Linked DNA regions of Drosophila melanogaster. The protein of the gene in region 1 interacts with the protein of each later gene in a pairwise test. Each region holds a gene or a part of one and is shown in the gene's direction. Other genes may lie near its edges.

Evidence for each region.
Region 2: the proteins of CG3740 (region 1) and CG31522 interact in a two-hybrid assay, tested with the Drosophila melanogaster proteins (one large-scale study listed by BioGRID).
Region 3: the proteins of CG3740 (region 1) and CG5906 interact in a two-hybrid assay, tested with the Drosophila melanogaster proteins (one large-scale study listed by BioGRID).

Annotation. Positions count from the first base shown.
Region 1 is NC_004354.4:1,667,906-1,678,248, reverse strand, and holds CG3740 (uncharacterized protein), read left to right. Parts: upstream 1-8,951; 5' UTR 8,952-9,239; coding exon 9,240-9,441; intron 9,442-9,460; exon of another isoform or gene 9,461-9,504; coding exon 9,505-9,725; 3' UTR 9,726-9,843; downstream 9,844-10,343. Other genes in the region: CG32809 (uncharacterized protein), read left to right, coding at 932-1,114, 1,184-2,368; hfw (halfway), read right to left, coding at 5,493-5,885, 5,952-6,462, 6,520-7,433, 8,312-8,329; dor (deep orange), read right to left, coding at 9,879-10,343.
Region 2 is NT_033777.3:4,457,643-4,468,403, reverse strand, and holds the start of CG31522 (uncharacterized protein), read left to right. Parts: upstream 1-5,520; 5' UTR 5,521-5,777; exon of another isoform or gene 5,778-5,784; intron 5,785-10,761. Other genes in the region: CG31523 (uncharacterized protein), read left to right, coding at 1-190, 258-338, 398-560, 636-772, 832-1,110, 1,561-1,713.
Region 3 is NT_037436.4:11,865,983-11,876,365, reverse strand, and holds CG5906 (uncharacterized protein), read left to right. Parts: upstream 1-5,060; 5' UTR 5,061-5,128; coding exon 5,129-5,719; 3' UTR 5,720-5,909; downstream 5,910-10,383.

The DNA of each region.
Region 1 (10,343 bases):
TACCAGTACCAACTAAGCTATCAGAGCCACTACACTAACCGCATCCAAAGCTGGGATCTAGTGTCGAGTAAGCGGTCAGCAGAAGAAGAATCAGTAGAGACACTCTAGCATATAGAAGACACTTTTCACTTTGTACTCGGTGAAGACTTCCGTGCAATCCATGAATACTACATTGCCACGGGGTGCAATTCATTTCCACTTAGAGCTTAGAGAATACAAGAACATCATCTGTCAATCACATCTGCATTTGCATCCGCATCCGCATCCACACCGTTTCATTCGCCGCGTCGCCTATGAAGTTATTGGTTAATTATACCACATACCACATACTTGTGCCTTGGATAAACGATAAACCATCGCTCACCATCATCCGTACAGCATCATCCACTGTCCACCATTGTAGAACGCTTACCTTGTTGCTTGTTGCCTGCCTGCTTGTGAATATGCATTAGCTCGATGTACTGACACACTCTATCCGGCAACCGATCATGTTCTAGTACTATACGCTTCCATATGTGTTCCCATTTCTTTGATTGATTGTTCGTTCAGTAAAGTTTTGCGAGACGCCGGCTTTATTCACTGCATGATCCGAACCTACTGCAACCAACTGCACCTATGTACAATATATTTCAACGCCTTGGCGGTCTTTTTGGTTTGGCTACACTTGTAGATACATATGTATATTGCTGGGTTATTTGCGTATTGTATCGGATTTGTATGCGTATTCAGATATTTTGCGAGAATATACATGTCCCATTTGAGTACCTACTAATTGCCGAATGTATAAATGTGACTACTTACTATATATATATATATAATTTTATATATATATATATATATATCTATATATATTATGTACTATACCTCGCCTTCGCCTCCCGGGAGCTACATTAGTGCCAGTGTTTTACCGCCTAATTGTGTGTTCTTGTAGCCAATCCCAACACCCAGGATGGGGTCGTTCGCTCTCAGCGGGGGACTCGCACCCGAAAACGCACTCGATGCTCTGCTAGATGAGCTCAAGACATTCTCCAAGCCCATCGCCCAACAACAGCAGCAGCAGCAGCAACAGCAGCAGCAACAACAGCAGCAGCACCAGCACCAGCAACTATACGAGGTAAGTGTGCTCACCAAGCGCGTCCCCCATCCCCAGCCAAACTCATGGGGTCCAAGTCTCCCTCCGCAGATTCGCCCTGAAGACTCGGCATCCGACGAAAGCGCCCAGGCCGCAGTACAAAGCACCGTCACCACGCAAATATCGCAGGCCCGTCTCTACACGGAGGCGAGCGTCAATGTGCAGCAAGCGACCACCGGCAGCATGGTCATCGCTGTCGCCTCGGGAACTGTTTCGGCCCAAGCTCAAGCCCAGCGAGGAGTGCTCACCCACCAGCAGTCGCAGTCGCAGGCACAGCTGATGGTGCACACCAACATGGGCAGCCTGCGACGCCTGCACTCCTATCCCAGTGAGTCGGATGGCGAACTGCCTGGGCCGCCACCGACTGGCCCGCGGGCCAGCGAGACCTCGTCCTCGACCAGCCTGGCCAACGGCGGCAGCAGCAGCAAGCCACCCGTGCCCGAGCGAAACGCTGAATTGATCACCAAGGTGGGCCACAAGCGCATCCCGCCACCTCCGCCGCCACGCACCAGCTCACGCAGTCCACTGGCCAGTCCAACCAGCCCGAACGTGCCACCAAACCAGGCTGCCGCAGCCACAGTCAATTTGATTCCCAATTCCAATTCAAATGCCAGCGCCAATGCCAATGCCAATGCCAATAGCAATGCCACAGGAAACAAGGGAATAGTGGGTGAGACTACGTCCGTCGTTAGCGGCGACACCTCAAGCGGGGACAACTCGAGCGGCAACGAGTCCGGCAACGATCATGTGCAGCGCCAGGTGGCCCTCGAGATGCGCCACCAGGAGCTGCTCAAGAAGCAAAAGATGCTGCAGGAGCAGTACCAGCGGTTGCAGCAGATGAGCAAGCTGCCTTCGGTGGATGTGGCCTCCTCTTCCTCCTCCTCTGCACAGGACATCGCAAGTGGCAGCAATACACTCCGGAAGCTGGGCAGCGAGACAAACATCCAGCAGAAGATAGCCGCATTGAGTCTAGCCTGTGAGACTAGTGGAGCCGCAGCTGCGGCGGCAGCGGCGGCTGCTGCTGCGGCTACCAATGGCGGCGTGGTGGCCAGTGATGCTACGAGCGGTGCGATCGGCGGTGGTGGTGGTGCTGGAGCTGCAGGGGCGGCTGGTGCGAGCGCTGCTGCTGCACACTCCAACTCGAACTCGAACTCGAATTTGAATTTGAATTTGAACTCCCAACACCAGACCGCCACAACGACCACTAAACAGCTGTACGAGACCGAGATACTTTAACACAACTGGAAATTGGCGTGGAACGAAGCTAAAATTGACATTTAATCGGAGCAGTTGAGATTTTTATATCTGAGATTGCGGACCAGACTAGTCGAGGCCCATCAACACCCATACCCATAATATGTGGGGACTACGATTCCGAATCCAAATCCAAATCCAATTCCGATATAGAAACGTTGGAGGCATTGACAAATGAGAACGAAACGAGACGATAGTAATGATTGAATATGAATGGCAAACACCTTTTCGTTTGTTAGGATGAGCACGGACTAACTCACAGCGTACTTGTATTTAATATCATCTAATTGTCGTACACAAATATGTGTTTGCACAAATCCAGCATCCGCATCCGATGTACTTTATGTGTTGTCTGTGAGAACGCAGGGCAAATTATCGGAAGCAAAACTAAACGAAAGCATACAGTATCGAATCGAAACACAAATCAAAAGACGTATAAGTAACTTGTGCACCCCCATATAAAAAACATAAAGCAAAAAACCAAAAAACGGGCAACCGTACACCCCATGCACCAGAGTAAAAATGCCCAGATGAATGTATTTATGTATGTATTCGCTTACATTGATGTACTTGTTGCATGTTGTGTTTTTGTTGTTGTTTCAACGAAGTTATAGGTCATATACATAGTTCAAGAGCAGGAGATGGGCAGGCGTTTGGCGTTGGAGAACAATAAGTTCTCCAAGACACCAGCACCATAATCCCCAGCACTATGCCACGACACAGCCATTAAATCCCAGCATCCCTACATCCATACATGTGGACTATGTGTTAAGGTCCAGCCGCACCACCCGCCCCTGAACCAAAATCCAAAGTCTAGAATCTAAAAATCAGGATGTGGGATCCAGAGGCCAGGACCTGGCCACAACACAACATATAACACTTAGAAGCAACCCATACACCATACACCGGCATAGCAAAGCAAAACGCCACACAACACACAGTCGTAGGAGCACAGGCCGATTGAAGTTTGAAGATTAACCATTATGCACATGTACAGATCTACGTATGTACTTAAATAATATGTCATAGATTTTTATTATTACCTTGGTATGGGACGTGAGACTGATAGTTCTATATATGTAGCTCATCAAGATACAATATGAAATACGATGGCGGAAGCTAAAGATATTGTACTTATTTTTGTTATAAAGATGACTAGCTAATTTTATCCCCCTTCCCCAAGAGAAGCGACAAACAGCACTCCCTCCAGCCACTGCGTAGTGGAGGCCTCAGCTCGTTATTCCCGACCGGATTGGCGGAGAGTGCTGGTGCCCATCGGACTACCGACGGTTCTATTGTTTACATGCTGCACCTATCAAATGGGTAACACATATGTCCTTAGCTATATGCATTCAACGCTACACGCTACATCGAACGGTGGTCAGTGGCTGGCCAGCCAGGCCCAGGATCCAGAGACCCCAAGGCCACGTCCACGGTTATTTTACACATGGGCCTTGCCCAGAAACGGGCTTCTCTTCCCACACGATCAGGATATCGAGTACGCTCTTGACTGCATTGCATTGTTTTTGGAGGGTCCAAATCCAAGTGTGGATTTGGATGGAACGGGGAAAGAGCACACTCGTGCACACACATAGATTTGTTAACCTTACTGCCCGGCCAGTATTAGACTTCAGTATTATAGGCTAATTTACATTTAAATAAACTTGTAACACACGACTTGAGAGTAATTTGTTGCACCTCTGCCACATTTTATATCGATTAAACACAAACATGCATTCCTTAAATTGTTCAATTTTCGAAGTCTAAATGAGGTCTGCTGAGTTCGCCACACCGATCCTGATTCATTCGGGAGCGGAGCGAACTTCACACATAGGACGAGCGCCGTAGCATAAGATCTAACACCATGCCACACGAACAGGTTGCAATGAACACTTTAGAGTATATGTAACTGCATCTGCATCTGCTATTCGCTACTCACATATGTATGTATAAATGCATAGTTCTATTAAATGTATATCCTCCAATAGCTCAAATACACCTCCTCCAGGCCACTGCTGATGCGGTGGTGCCACAAGCACAACAGTGAGCCGTATCCTTTATAGGTAGTCCCAGTTTAGATGCCCCCCATGTGCAATAGACTTGACATCAGGACTATACGCCAAAACACTTATGTATGTAACTTAGGTGCGCGCTCGAGACATTTATATACATGGCATATATACACAAAGACAGATATTTACCTAAGTTAGAAGATTTGTATTGTTTATTTAGCGCCATTCGACGAATATGTATAACATATATATTTACATGCAAAACCACGCAACGAATACACATTTAAAAGAACATATATACATGCCTACGATGATGAATACGATGAAATACGACGATAATAAATAACAACCTATGCGAAAGGCAGTGTTAAAGAGTCCCCTAATAATACCAAGTCAACATATTTAAGTATAAAGTTAAACCAGGGCACGTGGCCAAATCGAAGGCATCGTGACCCCACTTATATTCCCAAAAGGCACAATACACCGAATCACACTACACTACACACCACACACATACACACTCACACGCCTACACAGGTATTTAGCATCGCGATCACGATCACGATCTAATAACGATCTAATGGCGATCTAAAACCAAACCAAAACCCTCGCCCCACTGGGAGAAGGGAGATGCAGAGCTCAATTCAAATTGCAGCTGCATCGGAAGAGTTGGAAGTGCGTATTTTTTTCTTAATAATAATTATTCTATTTAAATCACAACAAACCACAACAATAAATATCATTCGTAAAATGAACTCCGAACACGAGTTTCTCTATTGATTTATTGCCACATGTAAGTAGGCTGACTAAGCTCACGACCCTAAGCAATGGTGCTGATCAACGTTACTCCTCCATTTTATACTTCCAGATCCACCGCACCCACTACAAATCGTCAAGTGCATGCACACTGTTCTTAAGGCTACACACCACAAAAATCGTTCACATATGTATGAATATAGAAGGCACACGGTTCCGCAGATACAGTCGGATACATATAAAGGTAGGACACGTATGAGAATACGCTCTGTCATGTGATTGTGTCACAGTCTGGCCGTCTGTTTGACCAACTGGCCATCTTACTCTCCACTCTGGCTCTACGATTCGCACAGCCAATCGCATGGCAACTTGGGCATTTTACTGGCCGGCCAGGGCAGATAGCCAGCCGTCTTGAAGACCCAATAGTCGTAGGACACCTTGGTAATAAGGGCGAGCAGCAGCAGGACCTCGGCGGCTATTAAATAGTATATGTAATCGGTCCAGTCTGGTGGGGACTGGCATAGTTTGGCCTCCTGCAGTTCGATGACTCTCTGGGGCATGTTGCGACAGCGTATCTCCATATAGTCGGGTATATCGGAGCTACGCTCCTTAAGCCAATTTTGCAGCGTCTTTGCCGAGTTGCAGTCGCACTGCAGCTTGTTGCCTGCCAGGTAAATACGACGGCCCAGGCCAGAGTCCATCAGGGCATTGTTGAGAAAGTACTCCGGAATCTATATCGTTGTAGAAAGATACAGTTTGTTTTAGGGATTGGTACATTAGTAGGTCAGAGCACTCACCTTGCTCAGCGAATTGTTTCGCATGTAGATGCGCTGAAAGGTTTCGATGAACTTGGTACCCTCGAACTCATAGATGGAGGATATCTGGTTGTTATCGGCCAAGAGACGGTTAATATTGTGGTAGGTGGGATTGGTATGGAAGTAATCGCCCAGGCTGGTTATCTTGTTGTTTGTGATATTGAGCATAAATGTGTTGTCCGGCAGTCTTTGGGGTAGCTCCACCAGGCCAAGATTGGAACAGTCTACGTGGCACTGGGGCTTCGACTGGTTGTCCTGTATGATCATAATATTCTCCAGCGTACAATTGCAGCTGCCGTAGTTCGGAATAACCGGACAATTAGTCACACACCGCTTTCTGTTCTCCAGCTGCTCCACGGACACCTTGTCCGTGGACTGAAACCAGGTGTGTGTGGCGTTATACTGACAGTAGGAGTGCTTCGGGTTCAGGAAATTAATAGATTCGGTGTATATTATCTCGTTTAGCGGAGTGCACAGCATGCGCATGTTGCCACTGAAAAGAATCGTTTGGTTAGGCCTCTTCCTTTTCTAAACATATGGCCTTACTCACCTGATATCCAGCGTAATGTTCTTGTTCTGGTTTCGGTGAGGCACCAGCGAGAGATTGTTGTTCGACATGCCGAAGAACTCCAGATGGGGCACGTCCTTCACCGCCCTCGAGTGGATCTCCGAGATGTTGTTGTTTGATATGTTTAGGCACTTAAGAGCCGAGAGCCGCGGAAAGGCGTTCACCAGTCGAGTGATATTGCCGTCCGTCACGGCAAGCGACTGCAGGGATCGGAATATTGGATTGGAGAGGTCCATGTCCTCCACAGTCATGTTGCGCACGTGCAGGTTGGTCCACTTGGATATGTTGCTGCAGCTTGAGATCATCGTCAGCTGCGATATGTTGCAGCAGTACCAGGAGTTTGGCCGCGTCGGGTGCTCCCTGCACTGGCACTGGCTGTTCCCCTGTCCTCCTCGGTTCTGGGCTTCCGACTGCGCGACTGTCGAGCCCTGGCCCTCGGAGGTTTCGGCTCGTCCGTCAAAGGTGTGGCCACACAGCTGCTCTTCTGCATAGAAGCAGTGCTTCAGATACTCGGGCTGTTCGGGAGCAGCCGGCGGAAGGGGTGCGGGCGAAGTGGTCGACGTGGTCGAGGTGGAGTGCGATGTGCTTGTGGATGTTGTGTCTGTCACAGATCCCGGATCGGACATGCTTTGCGTCTCGGCCAAACTTGATGCCGTCGTGGTTTCCCCAATGCCCACGTTATCAGTTGTTAGGATGGGAGCAGGTATTGCTGTTCCCTGCTCATCTTCCTTCAGCGGCGCATGGGGATGGGCATGGTGATGATGGCGAGCCTGTGGATGTGCGTGTGCATGTGGAGTAGACTCCTCGCCTAGTGCAGCCGGATCCGGTGTGTGTGCTATTTCTGGCCGCGCGCATGCGCCTGCTACAAGGAGCAGCAGGAGCAGGAGCCATGTGCCCTGCAACGACAACGACAATCAAAGGGCGCGTTAAAGCGAATCGAGTGGGGAAATGGGAAAAACGCCGTGTCGCACGTTGGACATACATATGCAAATATTTGCTACACCAGACGCGTTTGTTTGCAAATCGAATTAGACCGACGAGGGCTTGGCCTGGCTCGTCCTCCAATTGCCGTAATTAGGGTAAGTGAGGCACACCCTGTACGCATAAGTTGCTGGGCCTGCGGCTCTGGGAGTCGGGAGGGTCTTCGGTATCCAACTGGTTTCTAATTGTTTGCCCACTCGATTTAGCGTCTTGCGGGCCAACTGCCAACAACACTGCCATGCTAATTCGGCAATTAATTAACGAATCGTATGTGATAAAAGGGCAATAAAAAGATTAATTGTGTTAGGCAGCAATTGTGGGCGGGTCGGTGTCGGTTGGTGGCAAATTGTCGGCTTCGGCATGGAGTGGAAGTGGAAGGGGGCTATTTCCAGATCTTTGGCTGGTCAAAACAGCATAACAGTTTGGTATTACCATAGGCCAATAATAGGTTTGGTATGGAAAACATTTCCTTTTTGGCTTAAATGTTCCATAGCGTGTGAGGATACGAGGATTAACTAAAGATGGCCTCTGATTTCAAGGCAAATGCGCTTCTTTTCACAACTACAATATGAGAAATACCTATGCTGTATGAGTATAATAACTGGGTGTGGTATAAAATATAGAGCCATGGGTAGTATAACCTCACTAGCAGCACCCCTCCCTCGGAGCAATTTAGAGTGCTTTCGAGATTATAAACACAATATCAGTATCGGCATGCCCATGTCCATACCCCTACCCCTCCTGCTACAGGTACACCCATACACTAGCAGAGCTGCATGCGCATTGGACTTACGTGGGTGTACGCGAGCATGTCGCCTCCGAAATGAATTCCACTAGGTGCTCCCTGGCAGGTTTACTCCTCGACTAGGTGGCGCGGGAACGGAGCGGTCATCCACATCCGAGGAATCGCAATCATACGGAAGTGTTCACAATTTAAATGCTTTGCGCACATCCCAGTCCCAGCGGAGAGGAGCTACTTTCTGGGCGGTTCTGCAGGCTCGTTCGGTCCGCCAGGTGATCTGCCACAGATCCGTGCATGGGAAGAATCGGTCGGGTGTGATACGTAGGTGAAACACAAAAGTATCTCGACTCGAATTGATAAACTACGAACAAAACAAAATGCAAATGTTAAGTGCGCGCAGCGCAGCAGAGCACTCGCTGTTAAGTCTGATGTTAAATGCTCTGTTCGCCGCGGGCAATCGACTTATCGATACAGTGACATCGTTTGCACTGCGATTCGATAGTTGGCAAACGTAATCCGTTGAATCAATTTATATAATAAACACATATATATTTAATTTATTGTTCATCTTTAACTTAGCAACAGGACAGTAATAACCTATAGGATTAATATAAGAAATTTAATGTATGACCCATAACAGGAATGGGTTAACACATAAGGGTTAAGGCCATATATCGATATAAACGTCGATTGTGACCGCCGTTTGCGCATCTCTGAATCTGGCGCTCACAAGTTTAATCAAGTTGCTGTTTTTTAAGTCAAATATAAGCTTTTTAATAGTTCCCTTCAAGCGGATTCCGTGAAATTGTTTATGTTGTCGAGTAGCAAGTTGGAGAATTCAAGACCAACACTAAAAGGCAGGATACAAACGGAACGGGTGGCGTAATCGGAAACGTCATACTGCCGCACGGAACAAAGTCTAAACAGGAAATACTAGCATAGCGTTGCGAAATTCGGGCCAACTCCACGTAGCCTAAATATGCCCATAGATACGCGCGAGTTGATGGAGGCGATAGCCATCGTAGCGGACGAGCGCAACGTCCGCGTCGCCGTCAAGCAGTCCGGCAAGGGAGCGGCAATCTGCGCCGCCTGCTCCTTTGCGGGTGGCATGCTCCTGGGCCCCGTTGGGCTGGCGGTTGGCGGGGCCGCCGGCGGAATCGCCGCCTACAAGATGACAAGCGGTAAGCGGAGGAGAACTCCCGTACTCAGTCTCACTACATTTCCACTTCCCTCCTCCCGAACAGGCACATTCCGTCCGCTGGGCGAAGTCATCCTAAACGACCTGACGGACGCACAGCGAGAGCAGCTGGTGCAGCACGTAACCATGGCCGTGGCCGACATACATCCCACCGACGTGGTGATGCTGCTGCCGCTGATTGTCCAGAACGCCTCCATTCAGCAGGCTGTGCTTAACACTGTCATGTCATTCGTGACCAACGAGTTGCGCATGCAGATTGTGGACTGACCTGCTCTGCGGGCAAGTGGGCGATGGCCAGGTAACTGTAGAATTTGGACGGCTATCTCAGTCGAAACCTTTGTGATCAGTGTAGGTTTATTTATAATAATAAATACTTTATATGTACATAAATATTTGGGTCTGAACGACGGTGGTAGCGAACTACTCCCACTCGACATTCACCTGCTCCCAGTCGTCAACGAACGGCTGGTCGATGGTGCTGATTAGCAGCCCGCAGAATAGGCAATCCGCAGCAAGAATATCCTCGATCTCGGTTTTCAGTGCCGCCCTCTTCCGCTGCAGCTCCATCGCCTGCTGTTTGCTCAGGGCACCTGACTGCGGTTGCGCCTGCGTTTGCACCTCCGCCTCCAGTTGCTGCTTTAGAGTGCCGAGGCGCCGACATTGCTCCTTGGTGAGCAAGGGCACAACGTGCTTCTCCAGGCAATCGCTGTGGAACTTGTGGCCGCAGATGAAGATGAAAAAGGGCTTAACCAGCAGCATCATCTCGCAAATTTCGCAAGTATCCTGAGACTCAACGGTGAGGCTGTGCTGGCGCAATTGCTGCAACTCGGCGGTGACGCGATCGGTTTGCTCCGTAGTCTCGGCCATTTCACGCTGCAGCTCCTG
Region 2 (10,761 bases), on another chromosome or scaffold:
TCCTCGCGTTAACGACTTCTTTCTGCTATCCTCGCCACTGCCCACACTTTGTATGTGCATATTCTATGCCTACTTCAGCAAATCCCTGGGGCCCAGGCTGATGGCCAAACGGAAACCGATGGAGTTGCGATCTGTTTTAGTTGTATACAACGCGATACAAACAATATTTAGCGCGTGGATCTTTTATGAGGTAAATGACTCCTGAACGACCAACTTTATCTGGCCATCAGCTTAATCCGTATTTCCCTCCATTGCAGTACTTAATGAGCGGATGGTGGGGCCACTACAGCTTAAAGTGTCAGCCCGTTGACTATAGCACCACTGGCTTGGCCATGCGGGTAAATTGGCCCAAGGCTACTCGTGCGAAAGTAAACTAAAACTCTATTCCACCGTCTAGATGGTCAACATTTGCTGGTGGTACTACATATCTAAGTTCACCGAGTTCTTCGACACACTCTTCTTCATTCTGCGAAAAAAGAACGAGCACGTCTCCACACTACACGTCATCCATCACGGCTGCATGCCGTTCTCCGTCTGGATGGGTCTGAAGTTTGCGCCAGGTACATACATATACATATAGTAATCGCGTTTATAAGGATCGAAAATTTACAGCTCGTTAATTCTCTCGTTCACAGGCGGTCATAGCACTTTCTTTGCCCTTCTCAACTCGTTTGTGCACATTGTAATGTATTTCTACTACATGATCGCCGCCATGGGTCCAAAGTACCAGAAGTACATCTGGTGGAAGAAGTACCTGACCACCTTCCAAATGGTAGTAAAAAATGTTGCCTTCGTCGGCGAGATTTCTAAAGGATCTCCTCTGACTTGCAGGTTCAATTCGTGGCCATTTTCACCCACCAGTTCCAGCTTTTGTTCCGCGAATGTGATTACCCCAAGGGCTTCATGGTCTGGATCGGATTGCACGGCGTTATGTTCCTGTTCCTGTTCTCCGACTTTTACAAAGCGAAATATCTCAACGCAGCTCGACGTCGCCGGCAGGCGGTCAAGGCCAATGGCTATGCCAACGGCTCGGCTTCGAATGGGCACAGCAAGCATCTTGGAGAGGGTGACGCCCTGATTGCAAACGGTTGCAATACTGGGGCTTGCATGGTAGGTCTTAGTGCCACCGCACACCTAATCTGGGGCTAATTGGGGGACACAAGGTCATTCATTCCCTGAGTGATAAAAGTGGAGACTGAGCACACATATTTTCCTTACATACTCAAGGCCCTGACGCCCCGACCTCACCAAGGTGAGCGTCTGGTGCGGGAGGGGCGAGCCGTCGTGGGCTGTTATATCATCATAATTTTGTTGATCAACTTAAAATTCTAACTAGCTGAGTTAGGCAAACAGCACTTGCGAACTCTCAGCATAGGCGGGGGACGTTTCAATTAGCGCTCACATGTGAAGCCGGATGCGAAGGCCCAAGCCCAGTCCCAGCCCAATCTGCCGCCCATTAGAAAAGCACATGGGCGGCATGTTCGCTGCCAGCACACGTGCCATCGTCCAGTGGAGTCTGAACCCATTGAACTCATTGAGCACTCTGTGTTTTCTTTTCAGCCGGTGATGGAGGACGAGTACGTCAAAAGCAAGGGGCAATCGAATGGTGCCTACAAGGAGGGCTTCTTCAAGGAGGGCGTGTTATCCAACAACGATGCCATCTTCAACCCGGACAGCAGTAGTTCTAGTCTGCACCAGCGCAAAGTCAAATAACTGCTGATTAGGTGTACTACGATGATATTCATTATGTTTATGTTAAGTGATTAGCGTGTAACTGAACCAGATTGAAGAACAAGACGAGCAAGAAACTTGGCAGAAGTAGCAGAAGACGATTGGCACGACAGCAGCGAAAAATTAATAGAGCTCGGTTTATGGATTGTTTTTGATAATTTATATTTTAAATACGTACAATACATAAAATCAGTTATGGCAAAAGTCAATCGGATGCGCCGAAACTTACCGAACAAACGCCACCTATGCCCACCCACCCGAACCGTCATTAACTAAAGCTAAGTAGAAAGAGAAGCGGCAGCACAAACTAAGATATAATCAAACCATTTTTACAAACATGTCCTACGGCACCAGTATGAACGTCCCGCTTGAAGCACAAATACGCCTCTGGTGCGCAGAGAAAAGTTATTTTTTGAACGATATTTATAGAGCCATAAAGCCTGTTTAAACCAGCTACAGATACCAATTATAGTGTAGCTTACCGCATACAAACACCAACAAAGACATACATACATACATACTCACTTTAGGTGTAAAATTTTGTATGAACATTTTTGATAACAAATTGAGATGTTACGGCGGCCGAACCTATGATATATGAAAGCTATACATGCTCTCTTCAGTCTGCTCTAAACTCAAAGAAGACGTTATACTATTTGTAGCTTGTTTTGTATATTGAGAGAGAACGGCATTTTGTTGCAATACTTTGTAAAGGTCTAATAGTTAAACTTATTTATACATTGTAGCTAGCTAGCCAATTGCAAAATGCAGCACGACCCAGACCTCCCCTTGGCCTTCCTGGACAATTGTGACAACTAAACGGACGACCGGACCGAAGATCACACTATAGTCAGACAAGAAAGAGTGACAAAGATCATGGAGATAAAGCTTTTATACTGTAAGTGCAAACCGGCTTAAGGACGAAGACAATCAGTTTATTAGTTGGTTGCCGACCAATGTAAATGAATCTTAACAAAAGTTTTCAACTATTTTCGCATTGCATTGAACCTCTTTTTGGTGTGGCTCATATATATTACTTTATTACTACCTATTCAATATCCGCTTGTTTCCATTTTTGGTTTGAAGTTGTTAAACGGTTTTTCAGCGCAGTGAGAAGTATTGGTGACAAATTATTTGTAAGTGTAATTCTGTCTGTTAATCCGTGCGTATGGTTTCGTTGTTAGATTATGTGGCTTAAGCTGACAAGTTCAAAAACTATAGAAAACCTAAATAAAGCTTTTTAATTTATATTAAAACTGTTCAAGAAAATATTTCAATTGTATTAACGCATATTTTGTACGTGTGTATAACTTTCATGACGGGATTGAATCCCTGGGGCCAGTGTACAGTGTAATTGTTAATAAACGAACACATTAAGTGTATTCCCACTTATAACTGATAATTAGAGGCTTTAGAGCCTCTGAGGGTGTGGCAATTGACCCATGTGGCCTATCCCCTAATGAGATTGGACATTGTTTCAGAGAAATACAAGGCATCTTGCCAGCCACGAAAATCTAGAAATAATAAAGGCTTTAAAATAATGCCTTTACTATCAGATGCCTGTTGCTTACTTAACAAAATTTCCGAGAATGGGTCAAGTGTAATATTTTATTTACAAGTCACATATTAATTTACAAATTCTACCGAATTAATATTGCATACACCAGGCCTAACACCTGATGTGCCTTTTGAACTTTTAATAAAAAAGAACTCTTGAAATAATCGCATTAGGAATTACGCTGAGCATGAATCAAATTTCACATTTCCCACTTTATACGACCAAGTAGTGAACCAAATCATAAATATTTTATGAATTACATGAATATTCCAAATAAAACTATATTATATTTATTAAACCAATAACACTATATTATAGGATATATTTAGTGTCTCCCTCCACAAGAAAAGTCCTTTGAACTACGTCGTTGCTAAGTTTTAACTTTAATTTAAGAACTCCTTGCGACGTTTATAACTTAAACCGCAACGAGAAAGGAAGTTAGCCTTGCACCTGTAGCTTATTTGCGTCTGCAGTACTATGACGTCATTTTCAGAATTAAAGGGTATATATGTAGATTCGTTGAAAAGAAAGAAATTTAAAGCGGTTATGGTAGTCCGATCTTAGCGTAAAAGATCAAGCGATTACATACCAAGACTTTGAGAAAAGTAAAAAAAAATTTGGCTGAGCCCCACTACCAAACATATGTTAAAATTAAATTGGAACCTTTTGGGCGTCTTGTTCGTCCCTTAAAAAGCATTTTTTGAAATACTTTACCTAAGCCCATAATTTGTGCTACATGTCATTAAAAACGCGTTTGCAAATGATTATTTGCTTTTCACAATTGTTTTGTCTCAAACAACAGATTAAAATGTAATACCCATTACCCGTAGAGTCAAAGGGTAGACTATAGGTAGGCAGTTTATGTTCTTTTCTGACTCGATAAAGAACATATTACTTCATCAGGACCAATAGACCGTATAAACGTCAAGATCTCTCTTGTTTTTTTTTTTACGATGATCGTTGAACGCTCGGCTGTGCAAAAGTGCAGAAACGTACCAAACAATCGAAAAAATCAAATAACAATACAGATTGCCACTGACTTAATGTACAAATGGGCCAGTACTTAATAGACGCGTACTAATTTTTGGCAAACAAATCCGCTAACAGGCGGCGACAGCTGGGCTGTACAGGCTAATATTTAAGCCCCTCTTGACCTTGTCGGCTCTCGACTCTTGCCGCATCAGCCGGACAGGGCGCGATGTTAGCCAAGTTGACATAACTTAATGCATCATAATGCACCGGCGTATTTGGAGCTGGAGCTGCGACGGAGACTATCGGCACTTCAGGCTAGTGTTAGCGTTAGATAATAATAACTATTTCCCAGCTCACTTTGGCACGCGCCCTTTGATGCGTTGTGACCAAACACTGAACCCTGACCAATTATCAATTGTATTATTACTACCAAGTATCCGAATTTCGTTTACAAGGAATGAACTTTGGAGAATTAAAAAAACTGTTGGAAAAAAACTATTAATTCAGGCAAAAGCTGCGAGTAACGACCGCTATAAAAATAAAACCCCTATTTTCTTAAATACTATCGATTTGGAACATATAATTGTAGGATAATTAGACAATAAATCTTAAGTCACCCCATATTTTGCGAAAACTCTTTCATCATGTTCCAAGCAATTCTTAATTGTTGGTCATACGGTTGGCCCAAAGTTTCGAATAAGGCCGTATATCTGTGCGTATCCATGATTATAAGCCAGATCACCTACACGGGCAGGAATCGTACGCCTCGTAATTAACATGGATGATTTAACGCTGTGAAAGGCCAGGTATCGGGGCTGTTCGGAAGTTCACTCCATGTAATATTTACTCGCTGGCAGTGTGCGATTGCTATTGCGACGGTAGCCACACTTGAACCTTGCCTGCGCCGCTGACATCAGACAAAAAAAAACAAGGTTCGGGTTCAGATTTGGGTCTTGGGTTCGGGATCTCCGGATCTGAATCGAGTCGCATCATTCCCGGTGTCCGGGAATAGCCAAGAGCCAATCAGGCCATTTGCCATCTTCGTGCACTGCACTTGACGCTCGGCGGCGGAAAGTTTTCGCACTGCACTCGGTCGGTGCTTGCCGCTGACCGTAACGTTTCCACCGCAGCCGCTGCGCTGCCAGTGGCGTTCTTCCCTGCGCTGGCGCTCGCGGTTGCGCCTGCGCCTCCGCTTCGTCGGCGTCGCGCGATCCGCGTTTAATTAGCCGCGCGGCGCGATCGCGGCTCAGTTTTCATTCAGAAGTCAAGCGCGCGCTAATCGCAGACGCAGTCACCGATCCCGTGTGCGAAAGCCGAAAGCCAAGAGCCAAAAGCTATTGCGAAAGTAATCATTTTACAAAGTTCTTTGGCAACACTTTGTGAAATAGTTCGGGCCGCGCAATTTGTGTGTTGTGGTTTTTGCAGTTTTTAGTTTTCAGATTTCGGTTGCCAGCGATTTACCAACCGAGCTGCTGCTGGCCGCCTTCCGTTGCGGATTTCGAGCTGTTTGCAAGTGGTAAGCTGTAAGTTGTTCGCACATGTGATTTTTGTTTTTCGCTCTTTTGCAACTGCGCGGCGCTTGGTCCGTTCACAATAAGCATTTTGGACGGCGCTCTCCACGCCAAAACACCTCCCCGCTCTGGCCAATCTGCCCGGCTATAAGGCGCAGATCGTCCGAGCTAATCGATTTGACTGGCCAATCGGGCTGTTCGATCCGGTGTTTCCAATGGTGTGGCAACCCTGCCATTTGGCGGTTGCACAAAATCAGCTTGCGTGGGGCATTTGATTCCCAGCGAGGATCCGATGCTGAGGACCTCTGGAGAATCCTCGACGTGTGGTCGCAGGCGGGATTCCGGCGGGATTTAGCCCTGGCCTGACTGGCAGCGCAGCGGCAGACCACGAACAGCTGGGCGGATTTGTATGCTGTTTGAGCAGCTGTTCTGGTTTCTGGACTGTTGACTCCCAATATACCGATAGGTTTTGTTTTGCTGACCCCTCGAGATAATGCATAAGAATTAGCCAGCATCGTAAAGCTTTTCACCGTTGACATTGGGTCCAAAGTAGCAGAAGCGCAATTAGTGCGCCCTTCGCGAATAATTGCCAGAGTTTTTCTTGCACTAAAAATATACAAAATGGTAATCCAAGGCAACTCGAAACAAGTGCGGAAACGATTCGCACAAAACCGGATCTGCAATGACCCGATTTTGGCCTTGGACTTGTCGCAGGGCATCCTGATCGTGGCAAAAAGTTTCCTTGAGTGTTTCCCAGTCAGGCGAGGTGGTCGAACGAAAACCGCTTCTGGGACCGACTTTCGAGGTCTTGTGACTTACTGATCGATAATGGGATAATGGTAGTGAATGGCTCCAGATCGACGATCGCTTCCGCGTTGGCTGTAATTGGACATCATAAATTGAACCGCCCAGAAGGGCTTGCTCATTGTTCTTACCCGGACTGGAGCCACTCAGGCGCTCCTCGGCGGATGCCACTAAGGTGGCAAATACTTTCAAACAGTAAGCTGGGATTTCGCTTTCCGTATTTACATATGCAAACCATTTGGGTTTTTTTCGCGCTCACCGTTCTTCAAATGCCACGCACGTAGCCGCGTTTCCAGCGAATTTACAGGCTACACGCCAATCCCCTGAGATCGCAGATCCGAGATCTGAGGCCCGACTCTCAAGAAGCCTCAAGAAGCCTCAGCCAAAACTTACCCAAACATTAAATCGCTCAACGCTCGCCGGCGTGGCCGCAGCTCTGGCTCACACCGCTTACTCTCTACTTATAAATAATTTAAACACAAAAGTTTGTTTGTCTAGAAGAGGATCTCGCTTCCACATCGAATAGCGCAATGGGGCGTGCTAACAACTGCGATTTGCGGAAGCCAAGTGTTAGGAAAAGAGCCGTAAACGTTTACATTTACGTGAAAGTATACCTTTATATGTATACTATTGTTTGCTATTATGTTTGCTATTGAATGCATTACAAACGGTTTAAATGTATTGATAAATACAAAATAGAAGGGCATACACTTTTGTCTGACTCCCATTATATATATATATATATGCATATGCATATATATGCATATATATACTTCTACCGACCATAAAAGCCACTAACCGATAGATAGGCCGCCGCTTGAATACCAAAATGTCTTGGGCAGTTTTCGAATATTTTAAACAATTACTACATTACAGTTAAGCGCCAATAACAATACCCGTACAATTCCTGGATTAAAGCAAGATTTCGTATCTTAATCTGGTAGCAATCCAGTTTGTACAATACGAACATTTTGTATATAAACTTTATAAAAAACACCTCCAAATATGTGGGATTAAAGTGACGATGACACTTCTCAAGTCCTAAAATGGCAATTAGTTAAACTTTTTTTTAACAAATTTTGCAGACAAACACATTTTGGAAAATGTCATTCAAATCTTGTTTTATAAATACAAGAATTATAACTAGAATTGCTCCCCCTTCTTCCTAGCTAATCATCATTCAACAAGAGATTTAAATCATCAAAAGATTATTCGATCACGATATACATAAATGGCTCTGATCAGACTCTCGGTTCTCATCGTCACTACGTAAACTGCCATCCACAGCGATGTTAGGGGACTTTACTTGGGATAAGCACACGTACCTACTTATAATGTCAATTGGAAGACAGCGTTTTGCAGTGACTAATGAAAACAATTAACAGAATTTCGTCCGCCTATGTCTGCGACGTGTACGGCATTAAAAATATTCCAGAAGCAACAACACTATCAGCCACATCTCCGCACTTTAGACAGAAGATACTCACAACTTGTTCATGACACTAAAACAAGTTGAGACATCACCTAGCTTGCACTTCGGTTTGCATTACCTTAGTTCTGCTTTGAGTTTCAACTTCCCCGATTTGATTCGACAAACTGGAGTAACTAGCGTAACTAGACTTACTCTACTCTAACTAGAGTTTACAACAGCAGTCTTTGAAACCCCGGGAAATTAGTTAAATAGCTTGTCAGTAAATTGACTTAATTAGTGAGCCGAAGCGCGAACAGCAAAACGAAAAGGAGCTGCAATATGCCCAATAAGACTAACATTTAGAAGAACACCACAAATTGATCGTTATAAGAAACTTCCGTTTCAGAAATATAAGTCCAATACCATGGTTAAGTATTCCTTATGGTTTTCGAGACTAGGGTACATTCCTTATAAATTCCTAATTAATTATTATACACAATACTTGTAGGGTAGACCTGAACTTGAAATGTATTTGATAGAAAGCATATCTTCGACGCTTTATTTTCTTTTTGTTTCCGGAATTCTATTATGTTTTGATAATTTCTAAGGTAGCCGAAGACAATTTAAAAATGTATCCTTCGCAATCCTCCGTATATATGTACATATGTATGTGTATTCGAACAAAGACTAGGCAGTCGAACTAGCCAAGTTCATCTGGACTTCCTTTAGCTGGGTAATAGGTATCTGATAGTCAGGAACTCGATGAAAGTGATTACTCTTGTTTTTATAAAATGCTGAAAGCATTGTTTGTTTGGCCAAATTGTGGGAAATAAATATCAGCCAATATGGTTTAATAGAAACAAGTTAGTTAACACACTTCGTGTAAATGCAATTCAAGCAAGATCAATAGAAAATGTTTAGAATGTGCTTACACCTCGTTACACTTAGCAAACAGGTTGGGAACTTAATGCTAGAATTGATTGAAATCGATTGATTTCAGGCTTTCCGTAGCTACCTTAGTAGAGTCAACAGCTTTTCACATGGTAATTATTTCCGCGTGGAATTGCAGTCGCGTTGCATGCAAATAATTCGGAATGAATTAATTAGGCGAAATTCAAGTTGTCCCGGAAGCAAACAGGCAATAGGGCGGAAAAGGCCGATCCAGCGAGTAGCATTGAGATCGGGCTTTGCCTTGACATGGCGAAAATATGAGTGATCAGACCTGCCCAAATTACTGACTAATATGTCCAAAACAAAAGGCAATTGTACTCGGATACGACGCATTTGCGCTGCTCGTTTTAATGAACATTTTTCGCGCCAGCGCGGTTACTTTACTCGCAATAAATCTGTCAACAAAGCACTGACTTCTCACTCGAGGATTTTGACATTGAAGATGAAGACGCCGACGCCAAAGGCGATGGCGTTGAAGACCCCGCCAAGCGGCGCCGATTGAGCTGTCGAGCAGCTCCGAAATGGTGCCCCCTCCCCATACCGCCACTCCCAGTTCCGACCATTGTCTTGGCCGAGGGCCAGCTCCATTCCGGCCAATCTCGAGAGCCTGTAATCGCTCATTTGCGGTTTATGCGCCGCGAGATGAGCACACGCACATGTGGAAGTGTGGAAGTGGCTATATGGGCCGAAACTAGTGTGAGTTTCAACAGAGATTAGTGGCTATTAGCAGAGTTACCTTGGAGTGGACAAGCTGGGAAATGTGCCCCAGAGGAGGCCTTGAGCTCGCGCCGGCTTAGTCGCGTTTTATGGGACATCGGAAGAGGGTATTAGGTTCTTTTCGACAGCCGATTGGTGGTTGGTCTTACAGGTGTCATGGGGTGATTCCCGCCCAGTAATGCCGATAATAGCACTCGGTAATTAGCTGCGGAATGCTACTATGGAATTACGAAGTTAGATGCGATCCCAAGAGGAGGCCTTCAGGTAGCGAATGTTAAGCCGTTTTATTGCCAATAAAGCAGTAGATTCTCAGGCTCTGTGGGCGACAAAGTCGCCGTTGGCGATTGGTGATGATATACCTGCGGAGTGCAGGTGTCAGGCGGTTCCTTCCTAATTCACGCCCATCATCGGGTAATTGCCTGGTGAGTGCCATCATGAAACTGCATTTTACGGCTACTCGAATAATTAAAGCCCCCGCCCCCATGTTTAACTGCTGATTATTCACAGTTCGGCCCTCCTTCCGCAGTCGCAGTGGGGCCAAAGTGCACTTCAGCCAGACCCTTTGCTCCGCCCCCAAGTTGAGCATCGAATATTTGACTTACGGAGGCTTGCGCTCGAAGTCGGATGTTGGACGCTAATCCAATATTTTGTTTGGAAGGCTCGAGTGGTCCGGCCCAACGTGGACCGTTGATCTTTGGAGCAAGGTAAACTTTGCTTGCTCGCTATGGGCTTCCAGAGGTAAACAAGCTACAAATTGCGCCAAGCGCGGCCACCGGCGAAAACAACTTTCGATTACATTCTTACACTCTCAGAGTTAGAGGCCAAAACCAGAAATAAATACTTCATCCCAATCAGTCGGCGAATGCCCTCAACAGCCCTCTCGAAACGCTGGTTGGGGCTTATTGGCTTTGCTGGGTGTGTTTGCGGCAAATAATGGGGCTTGGAAGCTGTGATAGCACAGGTGTACAGCTCCCGATCTGGGGAAATAGCAGAAGATCATGTCAGCCAAGCCGAGACACACGATTCCCGTGCGAGCTCCCACCTGGGTGTGTGCAGCAATGGACCTGAGAAAAGGGCAAAGAAGCCACCTCCGACATGGCTGTCAC
Region 3 (10,383 bases), on another chromosome or scaffold:
GTATTTGTTTGTTTTGCATCATGCCATAGCTGTATGTGCGTGTGTGTGTGGATCCTGCAGGCATCACCTTTCTCCTGCCATCGCCCGCCAGATGGCGCCACATCTGCAGCGCTGCCAAGCGCAACGCAGCGCAAAATTATTCTAATTAGAGTGGCCCACCTCCCCGCAGCGCCGTGATATCCTTTACAGTGCCTTTGAAAAGTTAGTTCAGTTGGACAGACTCGCCTGTGTGCGTGAGTGTGTGTGTTTCTAATTTGTCTGTTATTTTTCTGGCTTTAAGCACTTTAGTTTACCAGCAGTTACACTCCTTTCAAAGAGCTAATGTGTGCGCCTGTGTGTGCAAATGGAAAAGCTTCGAGTGAAATGTATTTACCTTTCTGATTTTAAATTGAGTCTAAAGCACTTAGTCTATTACCCCCTTTTAAGCTAGTGTTGTTTGCAAGAATCTTTAAATCAGTTTTATTAGTGTTGCGTACAGCAATATGCCTTTATATATATTTGTAATTCTTATTAACTTTTCAGAAAGGAGGAGCACTTTATATAAAATGTATATAAATTATAATTCGTCAGTGGGAAAATTTCTAAAGCTGTGATAAAATGAAATTTTTAAATGTGATGGCAACCAGAATTTATATAGTAATCTCACGGCATGGCGACATGGACCAAGACTTATGCACATGATTTATCTTAAGCCGAATAACAAAAGCGGTGGCGGTGGCGATGGCACTTCCTGTGCGTGACGCAGCTCCTCCACATCCCGTTCCATGAATCACCCGCCGAGTGGCAACATGTGCTTAATAGTTTAACGCTTCGTGTGCCACTTAGCTGGGCGTGAATGCCTATCCTAAGGAGGAGCGAGCAGCCAGGAGTTGCCGCACACCGCACACACACTCATCCCTCTCCACATCGACCGTGCAATCCTGCTGATAATAATGGTAAAGTACTGCAGGAGGTGGCAATGGAGGTGATGATGCAGTCTGTCTGCCGGAGAAAGCCCCATCACATCCCAGCACTCATTTTTCGTTTCTGGCGTTAGTGGATCCTTCTCAGTTACAAATCCGCGACGTTCTTTTCTGCATGCCTGCCGTTTTGCTCCGCTTACGCGACCCCAGCCAATTTCATCTTGTTCCGCGTCATGAACGGACAGACGGACAGCCAAAAGGACGGACAGCGATTCCGGCCGGAGTCCTGGTGCCCATGTCCTCTCAGCCTGACATCGCGTGTCGCATGATGTATGACATTTTTGCGCCTCATAAACAGCTGTGCTCCACCCATGGTAATAAGGTACTTACACTCGGAGAAATGCTAGATACTAGTTTCAGAAAAAAACAAAATATTTAAAGGAAAATATTTAACAAATCAATTTGTGAAGCTTTGTTCTCATGTTAACACATAATTGGAAAGAAAGAAAAACTTAATGAAAGGCTCGATTTTAGGCAATTTTTTTTTTTAGTGCTCATGCTTCGCGAACCAGGACACCTGTCATCCTCTGCTCACCTGGTTGCTCTTTTGTTTTTGTGCATCGTCCAGACAGCCTGTACAAAGTGGGCGGCTGGCTGTATTTGAATTGGGTTGGAGCTTGGGGTTGGGTACTGGGTACCGGTGACTGGTGACTGGGGTTTGGGGTTTTTGAGGGTGGTGCCGTGTTGTTTGTTTTCGCTTGCTTTAACGAAATTGGCACGACTGGCGGGTGACGACGATGCCGACGTGTTGACTGTTTGGATGTTTGGCTATTTACTCGTTTACGTTAACGGTGAGCTGACTTATTTTCCCCGGCGGTGCAGTTCAAATATGCCGGGAGTTCCTTTACCCGCAACCGCTTGACTGCACGAGTCAAGTGAATTGACCTTTGATCCTTTCGAATTTCGTTTCCGAATTCCGTTTGTTTCGCAGCTAAAAACAAATATTCAACTAGACAGATGGACATAATCAGAAATATCTCTCTTTTGCACATTAAATGTATCCCACCATTTTGTATATTGATTAAATATTTTTGGTACACATTCGTTGTGAAAAATCGCATTTTTCTGGTGAAATGCTATCTCTGACTTTTATATGTTTGCATTTTTATCGGAATCGAACAAAAAACTGCGTGTGTTTTTCACACTGGCTCAGAGAATATGTCAGCCCGAAAATAAAGAAATACATTTGTTTTTTAAGCTATTTATGCAATCCATACTTCGTATAAAAGAAGTGGATTAAGTGGCCAGCATTTTATAATATTTTGCTATCAGTAGCTATGTGACAACGATCCTGGAATAAATATGGCGCAAAATGAATGGAGAAGTTGCCTTAAACATGTAGAACACCTGTAAAAGTTCAAATTAAATGAGTGGATTTCACAATTTTTTTTTTAAACAAGTGAAGCATACACAGATGTCTGCCCTCGACGGGCAGATTTTATTTGAAGTGTACAGTAAACAGCCAAAGTTTTCCATCCACTAATTGAATAAGTTAGTTTTCCGGAACGGAACATGCGGTTATAGTTGGCTTCCTTTTGGTTCGGCGGAGTGGAATGGATTCCCGGCGGCACGAAATGCTGCACACAGAGATGGCTTAACTTTTCGACTTCCATTTATTTGCAAACACACTCATCATCATTTGGGACTGGCCGTGCCGAAAATGCCATTAAAATCACATTTCGATTTAATTTGCATAAATTGAAGTCGAGGCAGCCAGTGGAAAATGAAGCCGAATGGCCGTCTAAACATGAACTAAAGCGCCATTCAAAATCGATTCGAAATCAATTAGAGAGTGATTTCCAATATATATACATATATATGAAATTAAATGCTTAGCCACTGTGAAGTAAATCAACCAAATCGCTCGAATTTTGGTCCGGGGTCCTTTTAAATGATGGGGTCCAAGGACACTAGGCGAAGGATTATGACACTTTTTGCGGCCCGCTGGCTGCACATTCGGCCTTTGCTTTTATTGAGCGAAATGAAAAATTCAATTAAAATGCACACATGCTCGGAACCCCACAACTCGGCAGCCAAAAACCCTTAAAAACCCGGCAACATCATCCAGTAGCAGGCAAAAAAAAAAAAAAAAAAAAAGAAAAAAATATGAGAGCGGAACGAACGCTGGCTGGCAGGAAAAACGAAAGGAAAGGAAACGAGAATGTGAAAAATCAGCATAACAAAGTGGGAAAAACTATGAAAATGCATGGCCGCTTTCACTTTTGTTTTTTTTTTTTTTTTTTGGTACATTTTCCTTCTTCATTTTTTGTGTTTTTTTTTGTAGCTTTTTGCCACGCTTCAGGAGCCTGGCTACCATCCAGCTAGACGTACTCATGTGTCCATGGAGCTGGGGACAGGCGACACAATATAGCATCTCCATATCTCTCCGGTGCTCCCAAAAGTTACGGGTTACGGGTTGGAAGTGCCAGTATGTAAATAGCCGAGCGCTGCAAGCCCATTACATTTGCACAATGAATTAGACCTAGAAGGCTTTTGTACGGCAGGTCCTGCGAAGGATTCTAACCGAATCAGCGTTTATTGTTGTCGACCCCTTGCGAGTTACACATTTTGGGACTGTGATAGGAAAATTAGATATAGAATGTAGAAAGTACTCTTTGTAAAATGAATAATGAAATGAACTAATGAATATTAAATGGGATTAAAAATGTAAATGCGTTGAATTCTATTGAAAAAGGGATTTATGAAAAGCTTTTCGTTTGAAAATGAACGAAAAAATTGTTCTGCCAATTATCTATCCCAATTATTTCTCAACAAATTTACACTGACACGTTTTTGTTGATTATTTTCGATTGCGCATTAACGTTTATTATTTTAAATTCTGTTGGTTTGTGCCATTTTCTGGCATTTTCCAAAATGCGAATATTAAACGACGGCAAATAGTGCAGCGACTGGTGGGAAAACAGTAGATACATCTGTGTATCGTGGTGCTAATGAAACAAATGCCTAAACCCCACGACCTCCGGTGCTGTCAGAATCATTTGATATGGGAGGAATTTTAGAAAACCCCGAACACCCAGCAAACAAAACCCAAAAACTGCAAAAGCTGAATTTACGGTTGAATCGACAATCGGAAACGGGGAACTGAAAACGGGGCAGGCGCGTTGGTGGAACACGGTTTTATGGCGGATTTCGACGGAATATAAAAATAAAATTGGATTTTAGCGTAGATCGTAGAAGGCCGTAAATATTTTTCAATTCACTGGCCCACAAAAGCGTGTCATGGGGGGAACGAAGGGTTGGCACATATGATTTCCCCAAGGGGCGCAAAGGGGTTGCATTTGGATTCTGCGGTTGGGAATCGCGTGCAAATGATTTGGCAGTATTAACTCACCGACACCCGGGATGGCAAAAAATTGCCCGCCGGAGGCGTCAAGACCCCAAAACACTCAAACCCCTAAAGTAGGGAGGATGCTGGTGATGCGGCGGAGCAACATGTGGGCTGGGGATTATCGAGCGGAGAGAAGGCCTCATTTGAATGCCGAGCAAAGCGATTCCTTTTTTTTTTTTTTGTTGTGTGTCTTCGGTGCGTGTGGGCGGGCAACCCTTTTGGGTCCTTTCAACGGCGGTTGGCGGTCCTCTGCTCAGGCGTTAGATACAAGTTGGAGCCCGCTTTGGCTACCTCAACAAATCCTGCGAAAACTCATTTCGTGTTGCTGGCGCCAAATTGATTTCATTGCCTGTTTGTGTTTTGTTTTCGCAGCTAAATGCCAAATTCCCTTTATCCTTTTCGAATCCTTTTGTTTTGTAGAGAATAATTTCTAGTGGCGGTTTCGCCATTATCTTTAACAAATATATAAGGGCATTCCTGCGGCATTTTGATTAAAACTTTGATTGGAATTTCGAGGGTGGTTGCAGAATTCTTGCTAACGTGGCGTGAAACTCGTTTCAAATATCTTTGATAAGCATTAAGATATAAAACATTAGAAATAAATAAAGGATAATGTATTTATTAAAATGAAAACATTTATAAGACCAATTAAATATCTATTATGATTTATAGGATCTAGTTATCAGCTGCTTTGATTCCACCCAGTATGAAATTTATAAGCCGAAACACACTTCTAAATAGTTATTCGAGTTTCTTAGAGAAATGTGTCAAGATGATTAGAATAGGGGGAGGCACCACCAGGAACAGGGGATCCTAGATGGCTCTACGAGTGCTATGGAGGCGAATGACGAATGCCATGGACCGGTTTCATCAGATAGCCTTCAGCCCAAAGTATCTCCTATTTACCAACATCGGGATCTCTGTGGGCCTGAGCATGGTGGGCGATACCATGGAGCAGTCCTATGAGCGCCTCATAGGAGAGCTTCCGGATTGGAACCGAACGCGTACCATTAGGATGGGCATATCCGGGTTGACGGTGGGCCTGGTGTGCCACTATTGGTACCAACATCTGGACTACTTGTTTCCGAAGCGCACCTATAAGGTGGTTGTAGTCAAGATTTTGCTGGACCAGTTCATCTGCTCACCCTTTTACATCGCCGTATTCTTTCTCACAATGGCCATTCTGGAGGACAATACGTGGGAGGAGCTGGAGCAGGAGATTAGGGAGAAGGCCTTAGTACTGTACGCTGCTGAGTGGACCGTGTGGCCATTGGCACAGTTCATCAACTTTCTGCTGATCAAGCCGCAATACAGGGTATTCTATGACAACACCATCAGTTTGGGCTACGATATCTATACGTCTCAAGTTAAGTATCGTAAGAAGCCGGAGCCAAAAGATAATTCGTAAATGGAGAAAAATATTTGGAATATAGCTCAAATCTAATGGTCTTAATATGGTTGTCTACTGTTCTGGACTGCCACTGCAAATCATACAATAGCAGGTCCTGAAAAATGTCATTCCAATGCCTTAGATCCTGGAACTAAAATTTTGGGTGTCCTTAAATAAAATTCTTCTTTGAAGAAAATCAGCAAAGTAGAAAAATTCAAAATCTTTATTCCTTAAAGTTGCCGGCTGTGTTAGCAAATATTTTTAAAGCAAATTTCCATGTAGAACGGATTACTCCTACAGTTAAAAACATTCTTAAAAAATAAAAATAGTTGCTTTTTATTGAAAATATTCATGCTCCTTCAATACATTTTTCCAGTTATTGCTCAATTACCAGGTCGTTGGCGTTAAGATCTGAAAGTAATTTATTGTAATTGTCCAGATATTATAAAATGTTATTCTAATTGTGACGACGGCTCAACCTGACGCCATGTCTCCGGATGTCAAGCTGGTCGTCCTCCTGTTTCCCGAGGATGAAAGGTGACCGCCCGATTCGGGGAAGGATGACTCCTTGTCAAATGCAGAACGTGGGCGGAACTTTTTTTGCGGGGTGACTGCGAAGGAGCAGATTCTGGGCGGAATTCTGGGTGAATGGCATCAAGGACCAGGGAGACACTCGAGCCGTAAGTCCTCGACGTAGAATTGTGTCAAGCATACAAAATAAATAAAAACCCAGGACGGGCGGGCACGAATAAAAAAAATGCCGAAAAGAAAGGGAAATCAAGTGACAAAATTGATGTCAAGATGAGCGAGTGCCGACCGTGCCAGGATATCCACATCCAGGGGGCGCAGAAGCGGGCTTCACGGCCACCGCCAGTTGACACCACCAAGGATAGAGACTAACATCCACTCACACACACATGTCGACTAATCCAATTTAAATCTCTTAACATGATTTGCCGCTTTCTTTTCATTTTGTTGGATTTTATGCCATTATCCCTTTTGGTCTCCTCGTGTCCTTTTGGCTACCGAATTGCCAGGCGCAACGAGATGTCATTTCTCGTTCCACAGTGGATGAATTAAAGGATTTATTTGTCAGATACTCTACTGGCCGAAGAATATAAATTTAATTTAAAGTGCAAATAGCTTCTGAGCCATCATTTTTAATGAATTAAATACTTGATAAGTATTTAAGAACTTCACTACATGATTTTCACTCGCCATCGATTGTCCCATTTGGTCCACTGTGCATGCCATTCACATTCCTTCTTCCCACTGGCAAGCTGACTTCCTGTCCTCACTGTTATCTCTCCCAAGGAGGATGCGCCTTTAAGAGGCAAGGACACCGAGGACCCCAAGCACACCAAGGACTGCGGCCAAAGGGTTTATTTATTTGGTTTAGCGGCGGACTGGCTTGCCTTAGTCGCTCCATCCTCATTTTGTGATTTAATTTAAAAGCTCAGTTCCAGTCCCACCCAGCGAATTCCTTTTCAGAAGGAATTGGTGGATCCTGGGGCTCTGCGGCACGTGGCCAGCCAACTCAGTTGGGGTCCCTGATGAGTTGTGTGCGTGGTTAAAGTATCCCACAATGAGACTACGTGTTGATGAGCGAGTTTGTCAAGCCACCGACGATGGCTAACCAAAAGCAGAAACAACGAAAAAACAGGACTTCAAATTAAGCTGTTTGATGATTTTCATATCTCAATTAATTATAAAATCAACAATTATTTGAAGGTATTCAAAATATTTAAGGTGTTTTTTTTATATTTTTTTCTACCTATTCATACCCGTAAAACTCAGTTCGAATTGATTTAATGGCATGATAAAAATGTTGACACCTGCTGTAAGCAATTAGATAAGCACCCATTGAAAGCCTGTGTAAGGGATCTGATCGATATCTACTATATATGTACATATATATGGAGGATGTACATGGAGGATTCTGTGCCATTTGAGGGTCGAGCACTCTCATCCAACCACCCAGCCATCCGATTCAGGTGGGGCAGCCACGTTCAGTTAATTGGCACTCAGAGCCCTCAAACAGAAATGCCAATGATGTTTGTCTACGAAATTACCCCGACTGGAGGGCAGAGATGTACGGTTATGTTGCGTAGTCTGTATGTTGAGGTGGAGGTTCCCATACAATCCTCCGGACCACGGAGTTTGTCTACGGGTAGCCGACCATAACCTATGCCCTTGTAATGGCATTGTGTGTAAATACAGAGCAAGAAAAAAGGTTGTGAAACTTATATAACAAACTGATCTGGCACTAAGCAGATAATATAGTTGAATTCACATACACTTAGGATTCAGATAACGATTTACTCCAGCTTAGCAAACTGTTCATAGTTTCCATTTAATTTTTTTATTAAAGACACCGATTTTTTCGCAGTGCACTTCAGCTACTTGCAAACAAAATGAGTACAAGCATGAAAATAAAAGGAAGTGGAGCATTGTGTAGTCGACATGCCCAGCAGTTATAATTCCATTTGCGATCATAAAAATGCATTACGATGGTAAGCTGCCCATAACAGGCTACATAATTAACGAGATATTCACGAGAACGGTCAAGCACTAGACTCGCCCATTGTTTCGCTGAGTGTAGGAGAAAATGGTTGCAAACGGCTTTTCAAACAAAAATGCCATAACTGGCTTGAGAACACGTGGCATATGTTACGGATGGCGGGGATTCCCCACCATTTTACCCCGCACAAAAGTTGCGTCAACTTAATTAGCCATAAATTAGCCAGGATTCACGCGTTTTTAACGACTTGTTTGTTCGCCTGGGGAGCGAGACGAGGGATTGGCAATGATGGCTCTGTCCCATCATGATGGCCCTAAGTCCATCTGTCAGCCAACTTGAACGAGTTAATTTATTTATCTTGCCGCAGCAACAGCAACAGCAGCATAACCCCGTTCTAATGCCAGTTGATTTATCTAGCTGAGTTGCTCAAAACTTTCCGTCCAGGATGGGGGCATCTCGTTACTCCGTCAAAGTCCTATTGCGGACAGCATTGATAAATATGGGTGTAAACAAGCTGCTGTTCCGTTCAAGCAAAGATAAGCTGGGGAGGATCAGGGCATTAACTCGCTACAGTAAATGGATAATAAATGCAGTCATTTCATGGGGACTTGAAAAGCATTAAAAAGTAGTTTAGTATGAGAACGAAACAAGAGGGTTCTGTTCGTCATTCCCTTTTCTACAGCCGCCTATTAGCGAAACTTACTTTTTTTCACAAAAATTATTTTGCTACTTCAACAATGAATGAGACCTTCTACTTCCTCTTAATGTTACCTTTTTTTTCTGAACAAACTTTGGTTACAAATAAAATATATTTATATGCATAAGTAACCACCCACGCCATATTTTAATATCCTCCAAAATCCCTAGCGGTAAAAGTTTGAAGGAAAACTTTGAAGGCAACTATGCTCATGTGGGCGAATCCCTTTGACCCGTTTCCGTTACGTTTGCCATCGGTCAAGAGGCTTCGTGGAGGGCCATGATATTTCACAGCTGTTTGGGTAGTAAATCAACCGCATAATGGAGCCATACAAAGGCCATCCAACATCCAGGATCCAACATCCACCATCCGATGGCCAACAATCCAGCTGGGCCCCATTGGGCCTCCGGTGCTGCTGCTGTGGCAGACTAGTCGATGATTAAAAACTCTTAATTGTTGGGCTCTGGAAAATTGAATGAGCATTAAAGTGGCCAAACGAAAGTGAGGGGTGCGGGGATCATGAATCGTGGTCGGGCAACTTCATGCGAGCTTTTCAATCCGGTTTGCATATTTAACCGTAATACCTACAATCCCTGAATACCCGGATAACTTTTATGCCTGTCCTGGCAATGGAATCGCACTAAAATCGGCAACAGCGGCGCAAACAACAATTACAGAGAGCAAGGCAAAAACAACAGCAGCCCAGCACCACCACCACCACCACCACAGCAACAATCGAAATGAGAGCAACAAATTTTAACGAGCACCACAAAACCCCGAACGCGCTGCTTTTTTAAGCCGCTTTCATTTACCCGGGCCAAAAGCACCTCGAAATCCTCACCACTCCCCACTACCCTCTCCTTTGTTATTCCCGCACTCCGAGTTGTGTAATTACAAAAAAGCCGCGGGCTGAAGTTGGTAGCATAACTTGACAAATGGCACGACGGTGGATTGGAGTGAAGGAGAGCTGGGAACGGGCCGGTTAACCAGGATAATAGGATGAAGCAAATGTAAATGAAGCAGGGACCTTCCAGCTAGCGCTGGTAAGTGTGTACAAAAAATACAACGAAATAATATTAACAAAAGGAAAGAACACACAACACGAATCGCAGCACAGACGTTGACTCAAAAATCTGTTAAGGACATCTCCAACTGGGTTTTTTTTTTCTTCGCCCCCTCTGAGTCCCAAATGGAACATCGCCGCAGGTGACGTGTCCGTAGGAAACAAAAAAAAAAAAGAAAAAGAATAAAAAAAGGAACAGGATTCGCGACGCGTGACTACGGATTTATTCGTGTTGGCTGGGAAACTTCCAAACATAGTGAAAAGTTTGTCGTATCTGGATTTCCATGTGCGATACCATCGTCTATGACAAATATGTTAAGCTATCTGGATGCTGTCTGAATTCACTTATTTGAAGTACAAATTTACGTACTCCGGTCGTCCAAGGTGTTGGAATACAAATG